4 linked regions of the Lepisosteus oculatus genome follow. The protein of the gene in region 3 purifies or fractionates together with the protein of the main gene of each other region. This does not show direct contact. Links are inferred from orthologs where the notes say so. Each region holds a gene or a part of one and is shown on either strand. Other genes may lie near its edges. The genes, in order: cop1, jdp2b, jun and dhx9.

Region 1 (7,140 bases), about 12 Mb from region 3:
TAAAAAAAATGCTGACAAACGGTGCATAAAAAACAGACTTTTTCATCACTGTTCATTTAAAATATAAGATGATTACATATTAAAAAAATACTCTAATTCCTATGTTCCCAAAAACATTTTACTGCACATTTAAGTTCTAAAAACAACAATAAAAGCACAAGCTTAGAGCATATAGCTCTGTGCAATAAAATTAAGATTTAGCATATCCTAAAACCCATTTGTATAAAAATGCACTCTGTGTTAATCACAAAATGATTATAGGGAAATAAAACTTACATTTTTATAAAACTTCCAAAACCCACCAGTACTGACAAAAATGAGACAGACTGAATCCAACAATTACATTTTCCTACAATAAAAAGCACTGTCTACAACTAGAATAGACTGCAGCAATTAAGGAATCTACTAATAGCATACACGTCAAGCAGTTCACTAGTAGTACAGTAGATTATCATTACCAAAAAAGCTACTTTAATAGCGTTTATCAAATAAATCATGAAGTCAGCATAAAACATTCAGATACTGAAGGTGCTTAGTATGGCAAGTCTCAAATGAAGAAACTATGTGACAGAAATTTTAACTTAACTTTTCACATGTGATTTCTGCTGTACTTTGTTAACGTAGCTTTGCACTTTCTCTATTAAGGTAGTTGTGAAACTATGCTGAGTAATGCAGAATAATACATAAAAGAGCTAATTAAAATCCCAACTAATGCTACCTTAAGTGCACCACAAATTTTTTGATACATTTTTCTTCTTTTAATGCTTAAATGATTACTTACCAAAAGCTGTGCCCACATTTTGTCATATGAGCTTCCTCAATCATTTCAAAACAGATTGGGCTGAAAAAAAGGTTCACATTAAAAACAATTCAAATCATATTGCAACAGATTATTTAATTTACACAATTCACTAAAGCTAGTACAGTCTATATTTTTAAAGATCACCACACTTTGCACAAATGAGACTTCACGATCATTAAAAACGAACACGGATATATTGCTATAATTAAATAGAATATGTATGGGCCTTTAGAAAACAGTACCAAGCACTATATAGCACATTTCCTTAAGATACAAAATTAGAAAAAACAAAACAAAAACGAGAGTTAATCATTTATTGTACAATACAGTATAGAGCGGATTTATGGTGGTAAGGAGGTGTGCAATTGGAAGACACAATAATGTTTTATTGCTGAAGGACCATGAAAATGGCATATAACAACTGAATTATCTTAAGCTCTCAACAATAGTCAGAAAAGAAATTTGTTCCTAAATAAAAAAAAATCATGGACAAAAAAATAACATGCTAATAATTATGTAGGCATCACATAAAAGTAGGACATAATGTCAAGACTTTGCAAAGCCAAAAAGAACAAACATTAAGCAATCAGCCAGTCCTGAAAGATTGCGACAGGTTTAACACATCACGTTTGACAGTGATCAGCAACGTACGGGCACTGTCTTAATCCTGGGGTGCAAGAGGTACTGTACTTTGTAAGAACAAAAGAAAACTTTTTTTTGCCGAAAAGGCAAAGAGGAGGAAAAACCTTCCATTTTCACTGTGGCATCCCGAACGTTTGTTGACATCTGACAACCAAAAACCAACTACTGTGTTGTGTAAAGCAGGAAATTAGTTTGGCTTGCTTAGTACTAAACTGCCATTTTCAGGAGAGAGAAAAAAAAACGTGACCAATTCAGACCAGACAAATGTTTGACCTACAACATCCATTCATTCGAATAAAGACAAACGTGTACCAGTAAACGCAGTAACTCAGCTGCAGGCAGGAATACACATTATTGTATAGCCCACAAATCCAGAATGTAAAGCTGTCGCCAAAAAAATGCATCTAAATGGGGCTGAATCTATTTTTTTAATTTTGACCATTATGCTGTCGTCTGTAATTTCAAATCCTCGTCGAACTCGAAAATGTCCTACTCAAAAACATAATAACTACAAATGTCTGATGGGAGATGATTGATTTTACGAGCTGATGTTGGGTCCCGTTTCGCACAATGTTTCAATAGTGCAGATGAGAGTAATTACGTGTTGTACTATTTATAAAATGGGGAATATATATATATAAACATTCAGGGGGCAAAAAACACAATACCAAAAACCAGCACCGGTATCTTAATTTCTTCACTTTCAGAACAATCCAAAAAAATGCCTCAGTCGGCATGATTCATGTCGGCCTTATGGAATTTAAATGCCCCCCCTCAAAACAACAACAAAAATAACTCACCACACAAAGTCGTTGCTCTTGTCTTCGTACGAGTTTATGAGGCCATTGCAAAGGGGTGTTGGAAGAGGACGTTTTCTGCTGCTTCCAGAGGACGAGCCGGGTCTGGCCAGAGAAGCTGGAGTAACTCGGGAAGTAGGGATCCCCAAAGCGGCCACAGGTAACCCCTCGGCTCCACTTCCCAGTGTCCGTGAAGAGACAACATTTGCAGAATTGGTCCCATTACTAGTGTTACCACTCCCGCTGCTTGTGTTTCTGGCATTATTGCTGCTACTGGTGCTGCTGCTGTTGCTGTTGCTGTTGCTGGTGGTGGTGGTGCTGCTGCTGCTACTGCTACTCGTCCCAGGCCTTGAGCCCGCCGCTCCTCCAACCTGCGGCTTTCGGGGGGTTGACATAACTCGAGGCCGCTGCTCCAACTCCGCTCTGGCAGGCCGCAGGCTCCTGCTCACTGCATCCGGGCTGCAAGGTTTAAAGACTTAGAAACTCAGGAGAAAGACACAACCCCCCCCCCCCCCCCAAAAAAAAAAAAAAAAACCTCACCAGCAGTCACTCCGATCGGGTTATTTCAGGGAATGCGATCAGGCTGTTGAAACTGTCGAAAGCTATCACTTTCCTGAAAGACACGGAAAGGAGCTAAACAGCAAATCCTGCGAACAAAGCTCCGCTGCCAAACCGAGACTTGGAAACTACAAGCGATCTCCCCGGTTACAGAGCAGTGCGGGACCGCACAGCTGCCACCTTTGCGCCGCTGCGTCAACACGCAGGACTTCCCACGTACAGGTACAAAAAAAATAGCGGGACTTCGTAAGTCACGTAAAACATCCATTTGGTTTAAATTACATTTGAAGAGGATAGGTGTTTTTTTTTTTATATACAACCTATTCACACAAAGTAGGGATATACGGTATAATTACTTGAGCTGTAGGCCTATAGTGTGCAGTACTTATATATACACAACACCCATTCATTTCGAGGGAAGAATTTATTATCACGACGACAGGCTGGTAACGCTTTTCTTGTTTTGTAACTAGTCTTAATAAAAAAAAATATACCCATGGATTATGTATGTCAACTTAATTTTAATGCAAAAAAGTTACATTGCAAATGTTGAAATGCCACGACAGTTTTATTGCAGCTCTATTTGATAACGGAAAAAGCGGTTATTTTGATTTTTTTTCCAACCAGAAAGGTTACAACAAAAGAGGTTATTCGAAAAATAACAACAAACCACATATATGTGATGGTAATGACTCATTTCGACACATGTGCAGATTAGTTGGTCACAACTTTCTGAAATAATCATAAATAATATTGAAAAATAACCCTTCATTGCATGTTTCTAATAATACCGGGAATATCCACATGAGGGCGATATGTACTCAAAAATACAGTGCAATTAAAACACGTATACTTCAAAATAATTGTACAAAGAGCTATAAAATACATTGTGTCATACAATTATTGATTTTTATACTACAGCTGTGCTACCGATGGCTTAATGATGATTTTCGAAAGTATTTTGGGAACATTTGCAGATGATGCTTATATTAAGATGTAATGGATTAAGATGCTTTCTTTCTTCTTATCACAGTAGGTGTGCGTACTTGTCCTTTCTGAATAAGTAAATATTTATAAAGACATGTAAATGAAATTTGAGCCATGAAAGAAAAATACAATGTAATCAAATGAACATGTCAAAAATTGTACCTATGTTGTATAAAAACATTATATTTTTGGTTTTATTAGCTGTTTTCTCCTGTATGAACTGTATTCCCGCATTAAATTTTCTCAGTTTTAACACAAGGTGGCGAGCTTGTTTCTTTTTGTGTTTTATTACTTTATATTCATGTATAGAGGAAAACTACACAAACAGCAACACGTTCAGTTGCAGGACAAGCTACAGTACGTAGCAGCAAAGTACAGTTTATTTGTTCTGTCAGCAATAGGTCTCCTCTGTCCACAAAATGAAGAGTGAGCATTTTCTTGCATTTTTCATTACAATATAGCAGGTGAAACAGCTTGTATGGTCCAGCTTTAAGATTCTGCAGCACTTTTATTTTATTTTTTTGTAGTGTCTTTTTGCTTTGGCTAAGTCTCTCCAGAAGCTGAAACTGTCCTCTATCATAATTACTCATATACGTTTTTTTGTTGTGTCTATGGTAATACTTTCTAATTCTCCCAAAAGGTCTTTTTGAATGCAACATCACAAAATATTGTTTTTCTCCCCATACATTAAGATGCTAAACTTAAATAATTTATATTTTGTTTGTTTTTTTGTATCTCCTCTAAATTAAGTAGCTGAGGTATTTTTTTCTTAACAGTTGTTGTTTTTAGGTAGTGGAATTTGGGCACATTGTGATGGTGGGAGATCAGGTCTGCTCTAAAACCCCTTTGAGTTTTCAGAGAGGTCTCTCTAACAAAACAAAGGTGGGCTGGGAGGAGTGCCGAAGGTTCTGTGTGGGGAGTGTCTAAACAGACCATTTATAAATACCCAAATTGTGGAAATGAAGCCATGTTGTGCTATGGGTAAGAATTTCTAACAAGGCAGGCAAGGTTAATTCTAGAAAACAGCTTTTAATAGGAGAAATAAATTCTAGTCCCCAATGTTTGCATTTCTATCATTGTTTAAATAAGAATGCGTATCCTTTAGCTCTCATCTCAGCTCTGAGTTAATATTTTAAAGCAGTTATTTTGAAAGGTAGGCAACTTTGACACAGTAAGTGCCTCTTTGGCAGCACATAAGAAAAAGTGGACCACCAGTGGTTTATTTTCTGATCTCTCAAGGGGCCAGTACCTCAAACCCATATCATGATAAAAATTCTTGCTGGCAAGTGCAAAATTAATGGAAGTGTTCCAAGCTGAGCCATAAAAGCCCTCCTGAATCTGCCACAGGGTCCTGTTTTGTCAGATATGACTGAATCTCCCACATCTTATTAATTTGCCCTCTCCTCCAAGGCACTTCTTCAAAAAGTCTTTTCCTTTCCTCATTTTCATTGAAATCTGACCCAAAAGAGTAATATACAGAGCTTTAAAAAAGGTAGTCCATCTGTGCTTCTCTGAATTGTGTCTTTTACGAGGTCAGAATTTTATTGGTAAGGAATAATACAGTTATGCAATGAAATCAGTACTGGAGCAGGTGTCTGGGAAGACTATCTGAAGCAATGTTGTGATGATTTTACAGTTTCCTCGTGTTGTATTTATTAAAATCATTATTACCTTACAAGAACATTTTCACTCAGCTGAAATTGAAACTGCTTTTCTCCAGTCTGGAATCAAATACATACATTGAAAAATAATGTAAACTGAGCATTTCTTTTCAGTAGAACAAACAGCTCATGGTACTGTACTTGGTATTCAGTTAAAGCCATACAGCCATACCTGTTCTATAATTAAAGTGTTTCAATGCATAGATATTCAGCCCACTTAAGTTCATATATAATTTACAGTACAGGAAAATGTCAGCATGGGACTTTTGTGTAATATCACCCATATTAAAAAAAAATCCTAATTTCTTAGTAAGAATGAACTCACTTGTATGAAAAAAAAATACATTAGTAAGCAAATATTTTTTCAGTCATAGTTGTACTCTCCACTGGGTGTTGATCACAATTTTATTTCCTTAATATACAAATGACTATTTGTCATCTTCTTCACAGGCAATTTCCATTAAAAGCAACTTTTTTTTTCAACTCCATTTGATTCAGTTAAATTATATTATTTTGAGAGAGTTATGTCTTCTCATTAGCAAGAGTGTCTTGGCTCGCATGCTGCATACATTTTGACAAGTTATCATGCCAAAAACACAAATTCATAAACATCATATTTAGAAAATCTTTCATTCTGAGAAACGCATAGAATAATATCCTGCAAGGTCTCTTAGTTTAAGAAAAACCTAGTTCATATACTGGGGGGCAGAGCAGTTGCCACTTCAAATCTCGGGGCCGGCAGAGGAATCCTACTCCGTTGGGCCCCTGAGCAAGGCCCTTAACCCCAATTGCTCCTTGGGCGCTGTACAATGGCTGACCCTGCACTCTGACCCCGAGCTTCTCTCCCTGTCTGTGTCTGTGTCTCATGGAAAGCAAGCTGGGGTATGCGAGAAGACAAATTCTTAATGCAAGAAATTGTATATGGCTAATAAAGTGATCTTACACTGTTTTAATATCTCATTGTGGCCAGGATCTCTCACAAGCAGTAAACAGATACATGAGATCTTCTGTGATTTTACATAAGGCAGTATCAACTTGAGGATTCTCAGCTCCCTATGAACTGGCTATCCTTGCCACTGACCTGGGTTTAGACGAAGATAACAGTCCATGCTGTGAAGGTCCACCTTATGACAAGCAATGCTAAACTGGTCATGCTCTGGGGTTACAGTATGACAAAAAGCAGATGGCTCTGTTGACACTCGTTCTCAGAGAATGGGTTTTCTGCTGACTGCTGGGATGTGGACAAAAACAAAATATTGGGACCTCGGTGCAGTTTTCTTTTCCTCTGTGATCTAGAATGGAGTTTTGATGATGAACCATACAGTACATTTTAAGGTGGAAATCCTCATGACCTCATTATACACTACTGTATTACTATTGCCATCTAGGTGACTAAGTAACCCATCAGCCCATGAAAGGTGTATCTTAATTTCATGAACCTCTTTTTACAGCTACAGAACTTTGTTGCAGTTTTTTGCTATGTGCAGTAGCCACGATTCAGTAACCCGCCAGTTATCCTGGAATGTCGCCCACAATTGTGTGAATCCCAAAAAATAGGAATTGTTTAAGTTTTGATATGATAAACCCTAAACATAGTGGGTCATTTTCTGTTCTCTTAAGGTTTCTTGCTGATAATGAGACCCATCGCTGCCTTGTTCAATTAATTACTGCAGATTAATTCGATTTTAAGGGA
Region 2 (7,301 bases), on a different chromosome or scaffold from region 3:
GCCTGAAAAAAACAACAACATAGGACTCCTTAACATTACCCAAACATAAACACAAAATTACCCAAAATATTTTAAGTCTCTTCTCCTTAATTAAGAGCAATGTCATCTTTTTTCACAAAAATACAACAGATGGCTTTTAATAGCTGTCCTTGTCCCTTTGAATAAACCAGAGGCTTCAGGGTTTTGAAATATTTTCCTACCATTTATGTCCATTGCTTCCTTTGTCATTTAGAGGCTGACCGTAACATTTTGGGTGTACACCTTACAAGTTCTAGAACTGGAATTAAAAACCTGAAAATGTTCAACTTAAACATTCAATTCCTATAGATGTTTGTTTTCAAACAAAATCACTCATTCAGGCCACAATGGAATAAATACATAGGCTAACTACAGTATACTGACATCATATTGAAACTGTTGAGGTCTCACTTAAATAAATTGATGGGGTTTCAATGATAAAAGACCTGACAGCAACAAGATCATTAATAGGGCCCATATGACTTTTGTAACACCAATTATTTTAAACCATTTTGACTTGCTTGGACACCCACAAAGAGAACGAAGGGGGAAAAATCTTAAAGCAAAACATCTTATTTCACCATCTACTGAGGACATTTTTTTTGGTCCTGCTGGTACATCTCCATGACTGCATTTATTAAGCTTCATGAGTTTTCTGATCCTTTTCTCTTCAGGTGTTGCCAGAATGCTTAGTAAATAGTTTTAGTAAAAATCTGTTTTCTGAATTTGAACTGATCAGACACTTACACCCAAATAAATAAACTCCATCTCGTTTTCCACAAAGACATCTAATTTAAAAAAAAATGGTTTTCTTTTAGGTACTTATGAGACGTTTTCTTAGGAACACCTGTCTTTAAATATTCAAAATGTTTCCCTGGAAGAGTTAAGCAAACTCTGCACTAGAGCACAAGGGTTTCACCATTATACCGTAGTTTTATTAGAAATATCAAAAGAAACAACAGTCTAAATCACAGCCCTCAGCTATAGCATATCATACTAAATCCCAAATGTTAAGGTAAATTCAATTTGCTGGAATACTCCGAGGAGGGATGGATCTTTTTTTTTTTTTTAAATCGCTTCGAGGCAGTCAAAAGTATATGAAGAACACATGACGTCCCATAATCGTTAAACTTGTACTTGTCCTCCGTGATCGTGCAAACAAAAAAATATAGTGTATTAAGTTTTCTGAGTGCAAAGTGTTTTAATATAACATTGGGGAAAAAACATACGCACGTATAGTACATAACACGATGTTACTAGACCTCCGTGACTATGACAGAAAAGCGTAATTTCAGCATTTTTACAGGAAGCCATGTTCATGAAACTCGGTTCCAAGGGGAAATGCTTTCATTCCAAATGAACCAAGTGTGACAAACCCAGTTATTGATACATAAGCAGTGCCACACTGTAGAAAACTGCCTACTAGCACAGACATGGCACATTAAGCTTGGGTCATCGCACCGCACAGGAAATATTTCTGAAGAATTCGCCGGGAAAGCAAGTTGAGCTGCACAGATTTATGTTCCATTCCTGCGTTTCACGGGGAAAACGCTTCATCTCATAGCAGTTCATCTGCGTTTAGCCCCGCAAAGGATGCATCAACTACAGAACGCCCACATTAATTCGACCATTTAAAATGTGTATATATACACATTTTTAAAGCTGCGGCCCTTTGATATCAAAGCATGAATCATGTGTTTCACGAACACCTACACAAGTAATACCCAAATTAATACCTGCACGGAATTCTCATGTTCCTGCTGTGCATTATTTTTCACAACCACATCTGTTACAGCTTTCAGCGATTCAGCAGGCATGTAGCACATTGTCATTTTTTGACAAACATTAGTCGAACAGCTAAGTTGAATTCCTTATTATTGCAAGTGCAAAAACGATTTACTTCTGTGGTCTTTAAGTCACTTATTAAACATGCTTCCTACCCTACTCTATTCGCTTTAGAGGAGTTCCAATTTGTTTTTAGAGACAATCCTCACTTGAAAAAGACACATTGTGTAAAGACAAATTTGTAATAAGTTCTAAGAACTAAAGAATTGCAAAAACCGAACGTGTAAAAAGAATGATGAAGCAGTAACAACTTTGAAGTACTTGTGACATTTCATCTCAAGGCAAATTAACTTGAAAATGTGCTCAACTCAAATCATCATCTGCTCTAGAAGGGGCAAAACGTTTTCCTCCATTTGTGGATAAACGTTCACAAAACCCATTTTTAAAAAACTACACCAAACAACTTCCAAAGCGGAAGTTGTTGTTCAATTAGTAATGTTCTCTGTCTTACGTAACGTCGTGTAACTTCTGTAGCTAATTAAACGCCGTTAACTTTAATGGTCTAACAACAGAGCTCACACTAATGCAAACAAGTCTACGTAAAAAAAAACCGGATCGACACGCATTTTCATGTTTCATCTGACTCTCATTAGTTACTTTTCTGTCTCAAATCTCTAGTTATTATTGCTGGAAAAAAGCAAGCGAAAGTGCCGAGTACTCAATATTGTGCAACATATTGCAAAAAATGTGCAGACGAAGAAAGGGCACCCAGCTACACAATGCATGCAAAACAATAGTATTGCTTACAAAAAAAATAGATAATATAACTGACAATCCTACACCCAGATAGGCATGACGCTTGTTCTGTTCATACACCAGGCACTGCAGTCCGAAACCTTGTTTTAAAAAAAGTGGCCAAACTTTATTCAAACTCGGTGCGTGACTCTAACTGATAGATGTCCAATTATAATATTTTTTGTCAAAAAAAAAAAAGATCTCTTCTATTTACCTGACTTTACTCCTAAATCCGATAGACGTTCTTTTTTCAGGTCAGCTGAAGGTCGGACGTAGGTTTTAAAGAGTGGAAAGCGTTGCATCAGCCCGTTTTTATACCGATCCCTATCTGGGAGGGTTTGGGAATGCGGAACCGACTTAAGCCTCCGCCATACGTAAGCAGGGATGTAAAAATACAGTACAACGCAGAAGAGAGGGAGAAGAAGAGAGAAAAAAATCTGGGTGGCTCCACCCCTAGCGACCAGAAAACAAACAACACGGCAACTGTTTCAGCTTCCAGCTGGAGAGACCTCGTGCAGTCCACCCACGCGAGGCACACGGGAATCCCTTGTAAATAAATGCACCACACCTGACGTACGTAACGTGTCACCACGGGACCGAAAAAGAAACTAAACATGATGCAATTAAATCAATACTAAAACAAAGCAGCGCCGGTATCAAACAAAACTAAAAATCTTCCATTTTGCCGTCGTGCATCCTCCACTGGTATTGCAGACCTATGACAAAAATGAGAAACTCACAAAACGAAAGTGGTTGTTCAAAATAAAGCTGTTAGTGAAGCCATCAGCTGTCCCAACAGGACAAGCATATTAGTAATACCCTGTATGTAGCAGGGACACCGAAGCTACACACTAAAGTACTCACGCACAACGTCTAACGAGGTCTATTTCTCTGCGATAGCGGTTTGTGGTCTTCCTTTTCTGCCCAGATGAAACTGACATCGTGCACGAGGTTCTCACTACAACATAACTTCTGCGTGTGTGATACGAGCTCGCTTGCGATTTCACACTCTCCTGTGTCGTGGTCGCTGGGGGGTGTGTGTGTGAGAAATAACTCCACGGAAAACGCTGCCCTGGCGCAGAGAACGCAGAAAGTCTCGAGTAAGAAGCAGCTGGAAGCCAAACGGTTATGTTTTAATTTTCAAGGAGCCCAGCACCTTCATTATAAACTAACATTTCGATCCCGGAATCCCTGAATTCTCTATTTACACATGACTGTGTGGGCTAGATTTAACAGCAACCGCACCTGTGATGACACCACAGTAAACGGTCTTATCAGCAACAATGATGAAACCGCATACAGGAGCGAGGTAGCAGAGCTGGTGGAGTGATGCCACAACAGCAACCCCACACGTAACATCGGCAAAACAAAAGGGATTATAGTGGACTTCAGGAGGCGCTGTGGACGTCGGACTCCCATCATCATTCACTGGGCTCCAGTCGAAACTGTCAGCACCTTCAGGTTCCTCGGTCTCCAGATCACTGAGGGGCTGAGCTGGCCAGAGAACACTGCTGCCATCCTCACTAAAGCCCACCAGCGCCTTCACTTCCTGAGACAGTTAAGGAAGTGGGGGTTGAGCAAGACAACACTCACCAATTTTTACCGTAATACCATTGAGAGTGTCCTGACCGGTGGTATTACGGTGTGGTGTGGTGGAGCCACAGTACAGGAGAGAAAAGCCATACAGAGGGTTGTGAGGTCCGCGCAGAAGATCACTGGGACCGAGCTACCCTCCATCGACCAGATATATCTCGATCGCTGCCACAACCGGGCTCGAGCTACACTTCGGGACCCAATTCACCCTGGCCACGATCTGTTTTCACCCCTGGGTTCTGGTAGGAGGTATCTCAGTATCAGAACACTGACAAATAGATGCAAAAACAGTTTCTTCCCCCAAACAGTCCGCATCTTAAATAGCTCAAATTGGCACCTGCACATATTAGCACCTGCACTTTAAGGTACTGCACTGTTGGCACTATGTCCTGTCTTGGCTGTATTATCATGTCTATTGTCTAAACTTATTTTCCATGTCTGTTTGTCATTTGTGCCTAATTTTTTTTCTCTAATGTTACTGGGTACAGCTGAACGAGTAAGCATTCCAATACACTTGTTGTATATGGCAAATAAAGAAATCTTAAATCTTAAATCTTGAATCGTGAATCGTGAATCGTGAATCGTGAATCTTGCCAGGTTTCTCTTCAATTTGAATTCTCGCTGAGTACTATAATGGAAGTCCCTTTTTCCCCTCTCATCACAGAGTCTCCAGTGTGTGCTTTTAACGGTGACTGGACTGAAATTCAGCAGCTACAGCTGAAGCAAGCCCGATCAACTACTGAGGGGCAAGAGACACAGCTTCAACCCGCAGGAGATAAAAAGGGGGTTTTACAATTCAGTATAAAAGGCACATCCAGAGAAATAAGTACTGTGACCTTTATTTCTCAAAAGAGGGGATAGTATCAAACTTCTATAATATTCCTGTGCAATTATCATCATTTACATTCAAGAGTTTCATTATTACGGTTTTTGAGGATGTTAACAGAAACTGCACGAAAAGGGAGAAACTGGACAAACAGGCCCCTGTTGTTTCCTTTATAGATGCAGATGTAAGACCGTGGAAATATTGATATTTTTATATATTAAGAGGGATGAAGCCAGGTTTTATGCAATTACTATATAACAATCTTTTATCCTTTAACGCAGCATTTGTAAGATAATATGATATTAGAGTGCCATGTTTAAGGCACTGAAGAAAGGCACTGAGTGTTTTGGAAAGGGAAATACTGGGTATTATAAGAAAGGCCCTATTACTGATGCCGTGCCCATATAGTGCAAGTACAAAGACTGCACTATATGGGCCAGCACGAGGTATAAATCACTTAGGTCTGCTAAGATGCAGTTTATGGAAGGAACCTTCTCTCAATGATAGCGTGAGAGAGCTGGACAATCAATCACTGCAGTATTTATTTTCCTCCACATAAATTAAAGTAAGGATATAAAGGAAGGACTTTTCCACGAGGTTACAATAAAATAATTCGTCTGTACGGAGGGCAGACATAACAGTAACATTTAAACTCATTTTTGTTCTGCTTTAGGTTTAAAAGCACTTACTCTGGAAGAAAATAAGAACCTCTTTGTGATGAAAAACAATTCTAAGATACCCTGACAGACTTCAACCAACACTCAAAGTTGAGTTATTTTTTATCTGATTTGTTTTCCAGTAACAAACCAAAGAGCGTATTTCCTCAGCACTGAAACGGTTCAGTGGCCTGAAATGGTTGAATCTCTGGTGCCTGCTGAAATATTGGAGAATGCCCCTGGACTATGCAAAAGCCCTTTCCACCCTAAAACTCTGTGCAGTAGAGCCAGCCTTCTTGTCTCTGGCTATGGAGGCTCTTTCTAAGGAAAGACAAAGAACTCATGTATACAATGATTATCAAACTACCTTCTACTGCCATACCTTGGACTGCTGCCACCACAGAACTCTACTAATTTTCCAAATCAAACGTGGGCATAAGTTTTTTCTTGCTCCCTGCATGAACCAATTTCCTCTTCAGAATTTTGTACCTGTAGACTCATCTTAGGACCATCTGCACCAGTGACTGTGTAGCAAAAACGCAAAGACTGTTGCTCTGAAGAAAATTACAACCAAAGCACTTTTTGATGAATCTGCTTGCATGATTCACAAGCTAGCATTAACAAATGTGGATTTAATTTAGCGAAAAAGTCCAGTCTAAAGTAACAGCCTTGTTATCGCCAAGTTGAAGGAACGTTTTTTGATTGTGAGAGTGTTAGTCAGCAGAGCTTTTGCTTAATCTTCCAGACACATGTCCTGTATTCACATCATCATCTCAATGGCACAGACAGTTGTGGTGTCTGCCTGGGCGACACACCACAGTACTCAGACAACTGCGGTTTATTATCCACACCAAAATACACCTATAAGTTGTTCTCTAAAAAAATTCTAAACTGGGGCCATCAGTGATTTATGTCCTCTTCCTGGGAGAATTGATGCGTCAGTTTATCTAAATATAGATAATGATTTACGAAAGAAACCAAAGAAAAAGCAGAACAGCAATCTATAAAAGTTGTGCAACTGTTCGAAAAAAAATTGATTTATCAAAATCACTTACACAAGCCCTTCAGCTGTCAGGGGATGTTTTCAATTTCATTGTTTTTGTAAAGGATTTTTCATTTTTCAGACTTTTCAGATTAATCCATCAGCCTCAAGGAATTGTTCTTCACATGATGTGTGAGCAAACCCAGACGTGATTGTATAAGGAAGGCTACAATACTCACTAAAAAACAATCATCACTTTGAATCAGGTTTTTGTGAAAATATACAATGTTGTTTGAAGCTAAGCGCAAAATATGTAATTAATATAAATGAATGTACTCTATTTAATCTCAATATCATCAGCACAAAGCACAGTACACCCTTCAGCTGTGTGCTCAGATTATTTACATTACAATGGAAAGAGCCAATTATCTCTTTTGAGTGCAGCCAGAACAAAACTTGAGCTGTTTCTACTGAGGAAACATGGAACCTTCTGATGAGAGATTTGTCTATTTTAACTGGACTCATTTGAACATGAGAAGCAGAGTGTCTCAGGCATACATCACTGTGCACAACTCAACAAAGCCGGGGTTGACATCTTTCTGCAATATGAGGAAGATAAAAGCCAGAATTAATGTTCACATTATTG
Region 3 (7,702 bases):
TTGAAACTTTGTCACATAAAGACCACCTGAAATCAAGCTCAATTACACATACTAAAAGATGTGATTCACTCAAGATTTGTTTTCAATACAAAAAAGGCTAGGACTTTTTGAATGCCTGTTTAAAATTGACAGGAACTTTTTTTTTTACACCAGATCCAATTAATATCAATATCTCAGTTTTCAAAAGTCTGGTCAGCTAGGCACTTAACTGTTGCTTTTGTGGTATAAAGAATCCTAGTGTATAAAAGAACACGCATTTCCTCTTGAGCTTTCAAACTTGAAAGAGGCAGTGCAGTACCTACCACTTCTGAAAACAGGAGGGAGGGAATTTTGCGTAGGATGTGGAGAGTACAGAAGAATGCCTGCAGTTATCGACGGATCAGTTTCAGAACATTTTAACTTGCTCGTTATATGAAAAAAGTGGGGGAAAAACGTTTAGGGAAGAAAACCATTTTCCTTATACAACTACAAACCCACCACCCAAAACTTAGAAAAGAGATACATTACAGACATTCATTTTATATACTTTATTTACACGGTCCTTAAATATAATCGATTAGTTTCTGAAATCTTCAGAAAACCAACATAAAAAATTATATATTTATTACAAATGGTAAACATAAGTCCTCAAAATTTAATCTTATTTACAAATAACAATGGGTTAAACCCCATTAAGCAACATAAAACAAATTTACAAAGGCTTGAAGCTTTTTGTATTGAAAGTACGTGAGTTGCCATAAAAGTAACGAAAAAAAAACCTTGCGTACATAACCCAAACTTCAGGCAACTTTTTTCAAAAGTATTCAGCCTTCTTTCATCACAGTACACGCCTTTCCATGGCGTTACATACAGGCAACCTACTGTTTCTATTGCAGTGTATTTTGTTTTACTTAAATCTTTTAATACTGAATGATCTTCGAAGGTAAGGTCCATGCAAAACTTGGTCAACGTGGTCTCTCTCTTTTCGTTCTTTCAGGGAAAAAAGCATGAAACAGAACATTTACAAAGCTGTGCTGTTTGTGGCCTTGTCTTTTGCTACCGACAAACTCAGCTTCTGAAGTTTCGGACTTCAGTCAAGTCGGAACTCCTGTGCGCGCGGGGCTCAGGCAGTCAGGCAGCCTCCTTCCTCTCAGTCTCTCGTCTTTCTCTCAGTCCGTTTCTTTCTCTCACTGCTGCATACTAACTGACCGCTGCTATAGCTCGTATAGCCTTTTAAGTTTCGTCCTTGATTTCTCTGCAATTAGTCTTTAACTCGCTCGCGCGTTCTCCTTCAGAAGGTTTGCAGCTGCTGTGTCAACATGAGCTGGCACCCGCTGTTGACATGATTCATGACCTTCTGTTTCAGCTGGGCCACTTGCTCCCGGAGCATGTTCGCGGTGGAGGCCAGTTCAGAGTTCTGAGATTTGAGCGTCTTCACTTTTTCCTCCAGCCTGGAAATCCTCTCTAGCTTCCTCTTCCGGCACTTAGAAGCAGCGATCCTGTTCCTCATGCGCTTTCTCTCGGCCTTGATCCTCTCCTGGCTCTCCATGTCTATGGGGGAGAGGGGAGGGGTCTCGCCGGGCATCTCGGGTACAGTCTGCGGCTCCTCTTTCAAAGCTTGGAGCCGCGGGTGCTGAACTGGCAACTGCGAGTTCATGGGGTGCTGGTGCGGCGGAGGTGGGTAGCTCATGTTTGTGTTGGCATTGCTGTAGCTGGGCGCCGCTGCGGTGCTCATGGTGGGATTGAACGTGCTGAGGTCGGCGTACACGGGCGGATCGGAACGCATGCTGGAATTGAAAACTGTATTACCAGCCATAGAGGAAACAGGTGCCATCGCGTTGTTAATGTTGCTCTGCGGTGCCGAGGTGACACTGGGCACACCGGGCATGTTCTGGTGGTGCAACTCAGCCAGTGCCCTGACGAAACCTTCGGCGAACCCTTCTTGCTCGTCCGTGACATTTTTCGGGCACAGGAACTGTGTCGGAGTCGGGGTTGTGGTGATGAGACCGTTGCTGGACTGAATGATAAGCCGCTCCAACTCCGGGGAGGCTAATTTGAGCAGTCCGACATCCGGAGACGTCAGGATGTCATTGGCTTTTGCCCGCAGGTGAGGTTTGAGAGAGACCGTTGGATCTGAGAGATTCAGGGTCATGTTTTGTTTCAGGGCTTTAGGGTTATATCCGTAGCCGGTTGTTTCGTGCTGAGAGAAGGTAGCATTCAGCGAGTCATCGTAGAAAGTAGGTTCCATCTTGGTAGACATAGAAGTTTGACCAAACCTCAGTTCAAATATTTTTCACACAGGAGACAAAAAAGTTTCCCTTGTTTTACCTGTAGTTATTGAAAGTCCACCTCGGTCAAAGTTCGACTTGTCAGTCCTCCTCGACTTTTCAGCAATGAAAAAAAGTCTGTTCTTTATAGAAGAAAGCCCTTTTTTCTTCAGTTTCAAAGTTGTTGTAGAAGTACTTGTCCAGTGTAGCCCGTCTTTAACGTCTGTTGCTACTCGGGGGTTTGTCAGCTTCTTCGAACTTGGATGTTTAAGTTGAACTCCCCAAAGCCCAGTCAAATGGGGAAAAAAGTTTTCTTCCTTATTAGCGACACTTCTCTGAGTCAGCTTGCTCAATGACACGCACAGTCTCGGGGTGTAACTGAAGCAGTGTCTGTTAAAAGTGCCTTTTGTGGTACTCTTCAGTTGTCTTCTGAAGAAACGTGTTAAGTGCTGAAGTTGCTAGGGGGCTTATACACCTCTTTAGACTTGGGTGTTGAACTCTGCTAAAGTCTGTATACTCTGAGCTGTTCCAGCGTGGAGGCAAACCTTATCTGCTGGTACTGCCTCACTAAAAATAGCAATGATGTAATGCGTGAAGTTTCTTATTGGCTGCAGGCAATACACTGGGCGTGCCCTTATTTTCAGATAAGGTGCGTTGCCTAGACGACCACCCAGAAGATTCTACTTCTCGCGGTGGCTGATGGGATGAGGTAATTCGAAGTACTGTGCATTATGGGATTACGTATTGTTTTTGAATATCTGGTTACCCGCTTAGTTACACAGACAGCGGTTAGATATATTTAATTGTTAAAGGAATATCATTTTCGTTTTGTTTTTTAAATGTATTAATTTTTTAGTTTTTACGATAATTATTGGTGTATGATTAAAACACAATTTTTATGTTAAAGCTGGTAAAACGTACTTGAAAGTTTAAATCTTGGGACATATATGCATTTTACCTGTATCTCTGTTTAATGACACTTTATTATTGGGAATAGACCTAATAAGGGCTGAAGATGGTGCAAGGTACGACACACTACCAAGAGTAGACGGATTAAAACTATTAAATACTAAAATACGATTATTTTACAAATTCAGTACAGCTGTTGATGCAGCAATGGAATCACATGTGAAAATAATACACTTTTGAGAAACCATTTGTCAAACTTTGTTTTGGCTTGTAAAAACAATGTTAATTTAAATAAAACATGTTAAAGTAAGAACACACTACATCATAATATGAATGATTAATTTTAAACCTTGATAAATAATTGATCTCACCAGTGGAATTATAAATGTTTTGCGAGTCTGTTTGTATTACATGCAGGGACATGTCTCGGTTAGGTTTAGCGCGCTGGTCACAACGGGGTCAATCGATGGATTAGGTCGTCTGTTGTGATATTGACATGATACACGTCCAGTTGTCCGAGCGTCGCCCGCCAATCGAATTAAAGCAGGAGGCGGGTTTAAGGTAAAGTTACAGCAGGGGTCTCTCAAACGTCTGTGGGACTTAGCATAAGGGGTGCTCTCTAAACTACAAAATTCATCCAAACACGGGAAGACAACTTTTTTATTAAAATATTTTCAGTTTTTACTAGGTACAGGTAGTGACTCACATGTTTTTCTATACCATGAAAACACAAAGGTGTAGACTTTACTTCGCTGTACATTTTTCCTACTTTGTGGATAGTAACAATGTTGGGTATACCGTTATGTAAGGTGTTTTCAAGCCTTGGACTCCAGTACTAATACTTCCTGCTTTTTTAGCTTTAGTAGGATTGTTAAAATGCAACTGTTTTAGCGAATATCAGTTTAATGATTAATTGTTTAGGTTAGGACGGGCAGCATCTTGTTCTCTTATCCTAATTTGTCTTGTTTTAAAGACACCAATTAGAGAAATGTCGTTTCAAATTTAACAATATTATAAAGCTTCAAAATGTTGTTTGTGCTAACGCATGTGTGTTACCCTTTGAAGAAAGCAGTTGCTTACTATTCCATATTGTGCTGAATCGTCTGTGATACAAAGAGTACAAAACGCGTATTCTGTTCTATTCTGTTCTTATTCTGTTGAAAACGATTATCCCAGTACTGTACCTCTGTCTAGTTCATTCTTGTGCCATTTATCAAATACTTCTGTCGTCTTGTATTTCTTCTTTAAAGATGTTTGCGTTCAGAGTTTAAATACCTTTAAAGGTTGATATAACTGACACGTTGCTTAAGGTACTTTGTCCAAGTTTTGAATGTCCTGGGACACTTATCGAAAAAAGCACATAGCAAATGAATGTTCATTTGTGTACTCAAGTATGGAGTAATTTTTGAAAGAAAAGTTTACATTGTCGTATATTTATATGTATAGTATGCGTTTGTTATATTTCGTCGTTGTTATACTGCGTCTAATTGTCATAAACGGTTGTAGTATTTACATTTATTTTAACTAATCGCTGATGCACACTACGTAACACCCGATATAAATAAATCGTAAGTGAAAAATTAAGATTATATATACAGAAATAACCTGATACTTTCATTTAATGAAATAACCATCAGAAGTAGTGCTTTTTCTGTTTAGGTGTGATGAAAAGACTTAATAAATACGAAAGGTGAAGCTCTCACAGCACACATACAGTAAATGGCATATACACTATGTTATGTATGCCTATTCCATCGCGAGTTTATCCGACTGAAGTTTTTATATATTTACTTTATAAATCATTCATAGACATCTGCGGATATGTGGAGATTTTGTACAAACACTGTTGTTCAGCCTCTTAGATGTAAGTCTCCGCCCCACCACACACAGCCGGGAGGTTTATCAGAGGAAATAGAATAATTATCTGCTTTAATATGGTTTTGTATCTCGGTAAAGACTCTCCGGATTCAAATGAAAGTGTTTTGATCTAGAGAAAGGTTACAGAGAGGCATACGGTTTGAATAAAATAGGTTCATATCAATAATTTTAAAAATCTGTTTTTAAATAATCGGAGGTAATCAGAAGTGGATATATATATATAAAAAAAACCGAAAAGTAATTTCCTCATGCCCAAACAATACATACAGTAGTTGCTTAACGATAGGGATCTCGTAGAAGTACTTGTTCGGCTACTCTTGCCTTTGCGTTTTTATTTTTACTGTGTTTTTTGAGCATGTCCCTAATAAGTTTCACATTGTTGCAACAGCCCGAGCTCGGTCTCTGTACATCACGTAAACATGACACTGCACTTGGTCGATACGCTTGAGTATATCTGGAAATGGTAATGAAAGGATACCGCGTTTTAAAATTCACTTGTCCCCCCCTCCCCGGTTTTTTGTTGCTGTAACACAGCGATCGCAAAGTTCGTCAAGAAGAGAGCAGCGTTTTACCCGAACTGTGGAAAATAGATTTCTAGATTAATATGTATATACATTTAGAGAAATCTCAGACACCTTTAACTGTAGAAAACGTTTTAATATAGACGCCAAAGAACACAAAAGAAATGCAAATTACGAAAATAAAATACATATAATGGGTTAAAAAAATGATCGCAGGTTTTCAGAGTGTAAAGGGACTGCTTGTGCTAGTGGTTGAATACAAGGGCGCGTTCGTGAATTATTTTTTTTAAAGAACAATTCAGAAACTCAGCACTGCGCATATTAAATTCCAGAGTCTGGGTCCTTCCATTATCCGTAATCGATTTGTCCTTTCAAGGTAGGCTACCCCTACTCAGTCGTTCGCAGGAAATGCACATACACATTCTCTTGAACACGCACACGGTGTAATGTCAGAGATGACAGTTAACTAGGACAGCGTGGTTTTGGACCAGAGAAAACCCACAGACTCGGGGGTCAAGCAGCACAGAAGCTGAGCTGCGCTAACCCCCCACGCCACTGTGCCATCCGGCTGCGTTTATTTAGTGGTCTAAATTACTACTCCGGGTTTTAACTGTCTCTAATCGTTTACAAGGTTGTATTCTGGCTCACGGACACGCAAGAAATAAATGAGACATGGCGATACAATAATATAGGAGAAAGCGTTTCTTTGTTTCTGTCTTTTTAACAGATTTGCTTCTAAAAGAGTTTTTTGCTCATGACATTTGAACTTCACAATGATGAACAATTTAAAATGTATTTTCCTCTTATTTGAAAGCTCATTTTACTGCTGGGACCTCTCCCAAAATCATATGAGCTCCACTAGTAAACCTTTCAGTGGATAATAAATAACAGCCTGGCCATCCAGTATTTATCAAACTAAGAGCCTGACTGAGAGAGCTATTACATGAATAAAATATTAGCAATCTTGCACTCTTTGAGCTTACTACAATGCATAACAAGTAGCATTAACTAAGGTGGCTTTCCATGATTGATGGAAAGTATTAGTACTTGTCTATAATTGGATCCATTCTTAATGTCTTTGTTGATGTCTCCCATGTCTTGTTACATTGCTGCTGAGATCTCCATGTTTGTGATATGTTCTGTAGCTTCCATTTATACAAGTGAATAGAAATATCTAACATTTCTACTGCAAGTAATATTGAACTACAGAGGAAAACTGAAGCATAGAAGGCTTTCTTATAGTTAGAACAACACCACAAACATCCTGGAGTTTTATGGTAAAAATCTTGCAAAGATTTGATGGTTAATGTAACAAGGAAAACAGGAGTGTACAATGTGGAAAAGGTTACTTCAGCAGCAGTATAGATATTATGTTATTCTGATATTCTGTGCAAAAGTAAAATTAATACCTAATACCTTAACATGGTTCTATAAATGCCTAATTTAATTGATTACATTTTACTCATTACTCATAAACTTTTCTGATAAACTGTTTTGCCTTTGCATACGCATAAATTCTGCATTATGTGAAATCTGTCAGTCTGGTCAACACACAGAGTTTCACTTTCTCAACATTGATGTGTTGAAAAGCTTTATTGTGTGACAAACCCTACAATCTTTCATTTTCTAAGTAATATGTCCTTGCTTGTGAAGTAATAACATGTACTGCTGTTTTGTACTCAGTTTGTTTCCAGTTGTGTAATGCTTAAACAGAGCTTAGACAAGACCTGTTATTTTTGAACACAGGAGAAGTGGCTACACACAAGCCACCTTTCTTGCAAAGAACGAGCAGTTTAAACTTTCAAGATAAGATAATGAAAGAACCACACATTCCACAAGGCTTTCTTTGTTTGTTCTTCATTTAGTTCTGAAATGTTGCTCTTTTGCAGACAAATATTTACTGTTTACAGAATATGAGCAACAAACACCCAATAAGTTTTCCTTTTAATATAATAAAGTGCTCTTCTCAAAACATGGCATTGTGTCATCTGACTTTATTAATTTGATATACTTTTGTTTTTCACCTTTGGTTGATTTTTATATCTCTTAAATTGATTCTAGGAACAGAACTATGGTGCATTAAATCTTTTTCATTATCTGCATTTTTGTGTTTATGAGTAAAAAGTGGGTGGCACAGTTTGTTAGCAT
Region 4 (7,392 bases), about 10 Mb from region 3:
ATACTTACAGAAAGTGGTTTAGATCATTTCTCTTATATTCCAAAAAAGATTCTCAATCATAGACCTTTTTCTCAAAGATTACTTGCATATAACGAACACTCTGTGGTTAAAAACTTAATTTAACATCAGTGCAAGTAAAATGAATGGATTCTATTTAAGAAATAGGGAAAAAAAAATCAGTCTTTGGAATGATCGGCTTTACACTGTGAAATGTGCTGTGCTGCAGTACAACATTATAACCTGTGAGAAAAATGTTAATGGATTGTTTGCATTTATGCCCGATTCTGAATCCAGGGTTAGATTTTCCTTTCTCAGATTCGCATCGAACAATTATTTTAAAGCGCCTGTTTGGAGTAGACTTCAGGTCTAAGGTCAAACCGCTCGGAGGTGCCCAAGCCACTGGCTGTTTTTGTCAGATTTGTTTTGTTGTTGAGGGGTACAGGGAAGTTGCATTTTTGTAACACTTCAGGAAAAAAAAAATTGGAACTAAATATAATATGCGCACCGACGAATTAATTGTATTTTTTGTTTTAAATCTGCTTGGCCATTAGCAGAAAGACTAATGATTGGGCATCCTTCCAGCGAGAGCCTTGATCTTTCCAGGGGAATGTGTGTGGACATGCAAACTAGCTTTACGAAAAACCCCTCCATGCTGCAGGAAGCCTGCTAAATGTAGTTGCCACATACTTCCATCTTAATAATTTCACCTTCCTGCAAGGGAGATAATAATTAAGCTAATTTTTTGTTCAGCATTATATGCAGATGAAACAGCATAAAAAGTCCAAAATTAGGAAAATGAAATGCCTTAATATGGGTTACAACCCTCCATAGAACACAGAAAACCATTCAAGTCACACATCTTTAGTATTATATAAACCAGAAGCAATACAAACAAGTTTAACTCATTTCATAAAGGTAAACATACAGTGTAGTTGTATTCTACTGGTATGTAATGAGGTAGCCCATGGAATAATTTATTCCAAAACACAATGCCATTTTTGAACATAATAAGAGGACATTCAACCCATTTAGCTTATTGTGTAGTAAGTAGCTAATTCCTTAAACCATAGTATACATCAGGTATTTAGCTAAAATCATTTAAAATGGATTCATCAAGTATCAGCAGTTTTAACTGTCCATTTCTGTGCTCAATAGGTATGGTGATCAAGGAGAGCACATTTCCCTCAGCAGTGGATTAAGGATTGCTCTTTTTTACAGACTTCTTGCAGTCTTCATTTCCTAGCATTTACATTTTAACTGTCCTTTCATCTTTATTTTTATTTATTTTTTGAGATGGCACCCTGATAACTAAAGTTTGTGGGAGGAATAAGAATTGATAAAACTCAGTTTTGCTGAAATTGAATAAATTAATCATTTCTTCGAAGGGTATAGGAGGAAAATCCATCTCGTAGGCATATCATGTCATAACTGCCTTAAACAAAGATGATAAATGAATATGTCTAGAAGACAGAAACCAAATCTGGCTTTTGGGATAGATAACTAAGCCCACATTAAAGGAAAATAAAAAATAAAAAATGAGCCTACCTCTGAGACATTACCTTTCATAGTTCGTAACTCTGATAAGATGAATGCCTTGTTAATATAAGCACAGCAGCATTTTTAATGCTTACAGATATGAGATACACAATGCATAACAATGGCATATAGCTAGATTTTGTCAGAAACATGCATCTTCAACCAAGGCTTAGTTCCAAAGAACAGTTACTACATATGAGGGGGGACTTTAGCCCTCTTGAAAGGTATCCCCCCCCTATTTTGAGAAGTGTACCAAATATTCCCACAATCATATTGACCCCCTCTCACTCTTGTGGTGTCAAAGGGGTTGTGGACACCCTCTTGGGCATGGGCAGGCTCCCAAACCCAGCCCTTTTTAAAAGCTCTTTTGGGTTCCTTTTCTTCTTTACACACACTCTCCTTCAAGAGTGGTGATCACACTGGCCTCCCTCATCAGAGTAACAGGATACAAGACTCCACCTTCTGTTACTTCTAGTCCCTTTGCTTCAGAATATCAAGGTGACCAAGTTCATCCTGTTGGACTCACCGCCCCACACCCACACCCATACACCTTGACATCCTCATGCTGAACTCACAGCTGCCAGCACACCTCACTCTGTGCCCAGCCACCACTGCACTATCTCCCTAGAGGGTATAGCTAGATAGACCCCACTTGTTTGCCCCAACACCAATGCATCACCAGGGGGAGAGTCCCTCTACCACACAAGCCACTCTGGTGCACGCACACACACGCTAATCAAATCACAACTCACTCATCCAGCGGACAACAACAGCCCTGCTCTCACACCCTAGAAAGATGCTGTCCTTTTGAATCTTTCAGGGATCTCATAAAGCTCCGTTTCTTCTAATCAGTCTCCTCCCAGACTGACAGTCTTACTCTTTTCCCTCACAACTCCATCTGGAAATGGAGTTCTTCTCCAGCCCATCACGGGGTTTACTACAGCGGCTAATAAAGCCTCAGTTCACTCCTTCAAAGCGGCGCACTCTTCAGACATCGCCCAGTCTACAGCAGAGCATCCACACTCGGGGAAAGCTAATCTCCCTCTTCCTCTTCCTCGTCCTCTTCCTCGTCCTCGTCCTCGTCCTCGTCCTCGTCCTCGTCCTCGTCCTCGTCCTCGTCCTCGTCCTCGTCCTCGTCCTCGTCCTCGTCCTCGTCCTCGTCCCACCACCACCACCACCACCACCACCACCACCATAACTACAGCAAGACCAAACCCCTGTTACATCTTTTTCTCTTTTCAAGACGTTTTAAACCACTCCCACACCTGCCGTTCATTCCACTTATTCAGGCCAGGTGTGGTTTGCACGGCAACGCGTCTCCCTTAATCTGGGGCTCCGTCCCCCAGACCACAATCTACTTTAAAACATGGGCAGTTGAGGGAAGGCGTTATTCATTTTTTTTTACCAAAGTTTTCAAGTTTTTTAAAAATAATTTTAAAGGTAAGCAAACAATTGCAATACTTTATTCATCCCAAAGGACCAATTTAAGATGGTAGATAATAGTAAAAACCATGCTAAAGTTTTCATTTACAAAAAAAGCGATTGATTCATACGTGATATTATATATTATATAGGGGATATATGCGCAACATTGTAGTTTCCTTGTTCAGAACATATTCCTGAACCAAATTAACAGGAACAGTTTCAGAAAAAAAAAAGCTGTCTATGCTTGGATCACATCAGATCGGGTACGTGATTTTAATTTATAAGGACTTGTTTACAAAGACTATTCCAGTAAACAGGTAAAACTTGTACACCCACGTTTCCATGCTGGTTCACTGGCAGGGTAGTGTAATGAAAATGCGGTAAAATGATAAATTGATTTAATAAGCAAATATGGACTTTGAAGGCTCAAGAATGTCCCAAGCACCAGAGAGACCTCTACAGGTGTCATTGAGTATCTGCACGGTATGAATTGCTAATTCCCTAGGTCCTCCCACACACAATTACATGCGGAAAGACTACTGCTCATGCAGTTTTGAAGATGCAGTCTAACAACCTTTTTTTAAGTGTCAATATACAGTGGCATATTAATCCGTGTAAACGGTTGTATGCTATTATCAGCTATAGGTTTCACTTTTGCATATTTACGCATGGATGTATTCTACAACAGTATTTGGGGTTTGACAGATAATTCAACTTTGTATAATCTGAGTTGCATCAGGGTACTAAAGCTATTGTTTTCTATTAAATGCAGTTAGGCTGAATAGTTCTATATTCGAAATCTCAGCAACTTTGAGAATAACAATTTGATCACGGTCATTCTAAAAGCAGAAAAATCCCAAAACTATTAAACATCTAGATTAAAATTCACTCGAACTTTATGCAAACATGGGCCAATATTCTACGAGACCTCGGGGAAAAAAACATTTTATTGGAATTTCATTTTTTCAAAAACCTGCCTTCTGCCCTTTCCTTCTGCGTGCACAAATTAGACATTAAAAAGGTCTGTATCCTACAAAACATGAGAATGTAAAGTGTAAACATAATGCTAAATAAAGTACCTTTTCTCCAAGTACCAAGTTTTCTTTTTACCTTAATAAATTTATATTGCTCGGCAACAATTTATACCTTGAATGATACACAAATTCCCTATATAGAAGGAACACTACATCACTAAACGTCCTAAATTTTGAAATGTTTGCCACAACCATGTCTATCAAATAATGCACACAGACGGTCAACGTGTGGCGTTTTTTACACCATATTGCTGCGGTTAACAGTCTTAAGGTTAGATTTTACGGTGAGACTGATTAATACGATAACTTTATTTTCTGGAAGACCGTGGTCCAATACTGGATGGCCCCGCCCCCGATATTATAGCTTGCTTCCGGGACGGCCATTTTGTATTTTGGTGAGGAAGTGGGTTCCTTTGCGACTGTTTATACAGGTTTGTGGGCCATTTATCTTGAAATTCTGTTTTGCAGACGTGAAAATGTGTGTGCAATTCAGAAAGATACCAAATATCCAGTGAAGCTGTACTGTTCAATGAATTGTGATAGCTTCAAGCCGGTAATTGCGAGTTAGCCTCTATTAACTGGTGAGATACGGGTTTTTGTGTCTCTGCATACCACACTGCGATACTCTGGTGCTGCATTTCAGTTGCTTTGTAACTCAATGATATGATAGCAATGTTAGCAATATGTTTTCAGATATGTTTGAAGGTGCCACGCTCCGCACCTTCATTTAGATTTATTTTCTTGTCTGTGCAAACCTAAACTCTACACGCAAGAGGTTTTACAAGGGCATGAGTACGTGCAGATAATGTAGAAAACATGGGTCCAACTGAAAGAATGCTTCATTTTTACAGAGCCAAAAACGATTCTGGCAATTGTGCTTTAAGCTTTCATCGTTTATTCACATGCAAAATCCTCATCAGCTACTCAGCAGTAGCACAGCAAAAGTGTTGATCTTGAAAATGTCTACATAGTACAGTAGTGTTTAGTGTGCACTGAGTACTGCGGTCACGCACAGTGGGAGTTTTCAATTGATCTTTTGAAAATGTTGTATTCTAAGATGTATTTTATACGTGCACTCACACTTTTAGTGATATATATACATAGTTTCTGATTTTTCCGTTCCATGTTATTTTTTTTGTCAACATTTCATTCTTACACTTATCAGGAGTATTGTCAGCGCACGATGGGTGACATTAAAAACTTCCTTTACGCCTGGTGTGGAAAGAGGAAAGTCACTCCCAACTATGAAATTCGAGCAGCTGGAAACAAAAACCGACAGAAATTTATGTGTGAGGTATGCATCTTGTTGTATGTCCTGTGTACTTTTTTTTTTCAGGTTGACTTCTGTATGATCTGTTTCAATGCAAGGCAGAACAAGTAGGTTAGCCTTAATATGTGGATGGTTCTACATTTATCCTGCTGCTTTATAGGTGATTACAGCTTCTTCGGAGTCATCTTCTTAAACCTACTTCAAATATCTGACAAATAATTCATCAGCAAGACCAAAAATAGGGATTAGGAAAATGTAAATACTTCTTTCTCTTTAACAATGGCTGCTTTGTTTTAGACTTCCAGCAGTTTTAAAACGGATCAGTGGTTCGGGAAGCTTGCGTGTTGTCAGATTGCCGCTAAAATGTGCAGTTTAATTCACTTGTGTCCTCTCAGGTCCGTGTCGAGGGTTTCAACTACACTGGAATGGGAAACTCCACCAATAAGAAGGATGCTCAAGCCAACGCTGCCAGAGATTTCGTCAATTACCTTGTCCGTATGGGGGAAGTGAATGCTAGTGACGTCCCTGCATTGGGGGTTAGTAGGCGAATGTATTTGTAAATGGGTGTTAAGGTTACTGGTTAGTTGCTTTTATCCCAATGTTTTCTTTTGGTTTAAAGGCCAGTTTACCAGCCAGTGATTGTCCTGATGGTGGAGGAGGGGGAGGAGCAGGTGCAGGCAGCGGCGGCGGCTTTGGAAATCTGCCTCCAAACGGACCTATTCCTCCACATCTGATTGTAAAGGCTGAGCAAGGTGAGATGCCAGGAGATCCCTGGAGCAAGTAATAATGGGGACTGATTACACGTGGTTGTCATATGAACATATCAGACTGCCACTTGGCTGGCAGATGGATAATTAGAGCTTAATAGTGTTTTCTATAGGTAAAAAAAGAAAGTGTGTGTGTAGTGCTAATGGTATCATCTATTAACAGTATAGTGACAGTATATACTAAACTGATGGACAGTGATATGGTAAAATGATTGTTGATTTGACCAGGAAAACTTCGTTGTACACAACTCAGGTTCTGAAGCAGGACCTAGCTCGGGACCTGTTCCAGGGGTGACTGGTTTGGGCTATTCTGGTTTTAACAATGCCCAGTGGGATCGTGGCGCCAATCTTAAGGATTACTACTCAAAGAAGGAGGAACAAGAAGCACAAGCAGTAAGCCTTATTAATCCATTATTCTGCAGTTTTCCAAGCTGGTTAACAGAATGGTTTTCAAACTTCATTTAATAAAGGAAAACATTGATGCATTCTATTTTTTCGGTCTAATGTAAGTAACTTTATGATACTTGACATGAGATTAGTTTCTAGAGAATCTTTATAAAGCTATGGGTCAAATTTCCTTTCAGACTTTCCATAGAGAAGGTGCTTCCATAACCCTTTCCTTTTAAATGTTACACAGATGTCCATTATTACCAGTAACTCCTGCTTTTTTTTTTTGTCTTGTAGACTCTCGAGTCTGAAGAAGTTGATTTGAATGCTGGGCTTCATGGTAACTGGACTCTAGAGAATGCCAAAGCCCGTCTGAACCAGTTCTTTCAGAAGGAAAAGAACCAGTCAGACTACAAATACAGCCAAGTTGGGCCTGACCACAACAGGTCTGGGGGATCCACTGGAGGTTCTTTTGTCAGAAAATGTTTTTTGGTCATTTGTCCATTCCTTTGATATTCAGCTTTTCACCTTTTACTAGTGTTATGTGAACCATGCTTTGAGTGAATAGTGAAAAATGTTATGGCAGCATCTCTGTTATGCAAATGTGATGATGATATGAAGTTATTTAAATGAGGAGCGTTAGAAGCTTTTAGTTTTGGCAGGTCAAGAGTTCTTAAGACTATATAACACTATGATCTTATTAATGCATTTAAACTCAGTTATAACTTTTTGGCTAAGTTACTGTGAAGCAGTTTTAGTGTTTTTCTAAGACATCGGCTTCTGTATCTGCATAAAAGTGTTGAAATGTGTATGCTGCTCTGCTGAAGCTGCAGTGTTTCTGTGAATTGATAATGTCCTAGGTGGGCAAGCCTTAAATCAAACTGTCTCCACTCTTTTGTGCATGTGAAAGGGTTAGCTGGGTTTGAATTGCAAAAACATAAGTGTCCTGATTTATAAAGTAAGGCAGTGGCTC

Evidence for each region.
Region 1: the proteins of jun (region 3) and cop1 purify together in Homo sapiens (affinity purification with western blotting; 9 studies listed by BioGRID and IntAct, counting the BioPlex papers as one, with this or other methods). This does not show direct contact. The link is inferred for Lepisosteus oculatus from reciprocal best matches to the Homo sapiens genes JUN and COP1.
Region 2: the proteins of jun (region 3) and jdp2b purify together in Homo sapiens (co-immunoprecipitation; 3 studies listed by BioGRID and IntAct, with this or other methods). This does not show direct contact. The link is inferred for Lepisosteus oculatus from reciprocal best matches to the Homo sapiens genes JUN and JDP2.
Region 4: the proteins of jun (region 3) and dhx9 purify together in Homo sapiens (affinity purification with mass spectrometry; 3 studies listed by BioGRID and IntAct, with this or other methods). This does not show direct contact. The link is inferred for Lepisosteus oculatus from reciprocal best matches to the Homo sapiens genes JUN and DHX9.

What each region holds. Positions count from the first base shown.
Region 1 is NC_090704.1:6,368,393-6,375,532, forward strand, and holds the start of cop1 (E3 ubiquitin-protein ligase COP1), read right to left. Parts: upstream 3,012-7,140; 5' UTR 2,782-3,011; intron 2,701-2,781; 5' UTR 2,637-2,700; coding exon 2,245-2,636; intron 842-2,244; coding exon 782-841; intron 1-781. UniProt on the Homo sapiens protein: E3 ubiquitin-protein ligase that mediates ubiquitination and subsequent proteasomal degradation of target proteins.
Region 2 is NC_090703.1:8,547,443-8,554,743, reverse strand, and holds the start of jdp2b (jun dimerization protein 2), read right to left. Parts: upstream 3,015-7,301; 5' UTR 2,901-3,014; coding exon 2,813-2,900; intron 1-2,812. UniProt on the Homo sapiens protein: Component of the AP-1 transcription factor that represses transactivation mediated by the Jun family of proteins.
Region 3 is NC_090704.1:17,935,113-17,942,814, forward strand, and holds jun (transcription factor Jun), read right to left. Parts: upstream 2,792-7,702; 5' UTR 2,240-2,791; coding exon 1,271-2,239; 3' UTR 513-1,270; downstream 1-512. UniProt on the Homo sapiens protein: Transcription factor that recognizes and binds to the AP-1 consensus motif 5'-TGA[GC]TCA-3'.
Region 4 is NC_090704.1:7,602,808-7,610,199, forward strand, and holds the start of dhx9 (ATP-dependent RNA helicase A), read left to right. Parts: upstream 1-4,378; 5' UTR 4,379-4,426; intron 4,427-4,477; exon of another isoform or gene 4,478-4,576; intron 4,577-5,160; 5' UTR 5,161-5,178; coding exon 5,179-5,289; intron 5,290-5,660; coding exon 5,661-5,801; intron 5,802-5,884; coding exon 5,885-6,017; intron 6,018-6,285; coding exon 6,286-6,425; intron 6,426-6,716; coding exon 6,717-6,865; intron 6,866-6,928; exon of another isoform or gene 6,929-7,392. UniProt on the Homo sapiens protein: Multifunctional ATP-dependent nucleic acid helicase that unwinds DNA and RNA in a 3' to 5' direction and that plays important roles in many processes, such as DNA replication, transcriptional activation, post-transcriptional RNA regulation, mRNA translation and RNA-mediated gene silencing.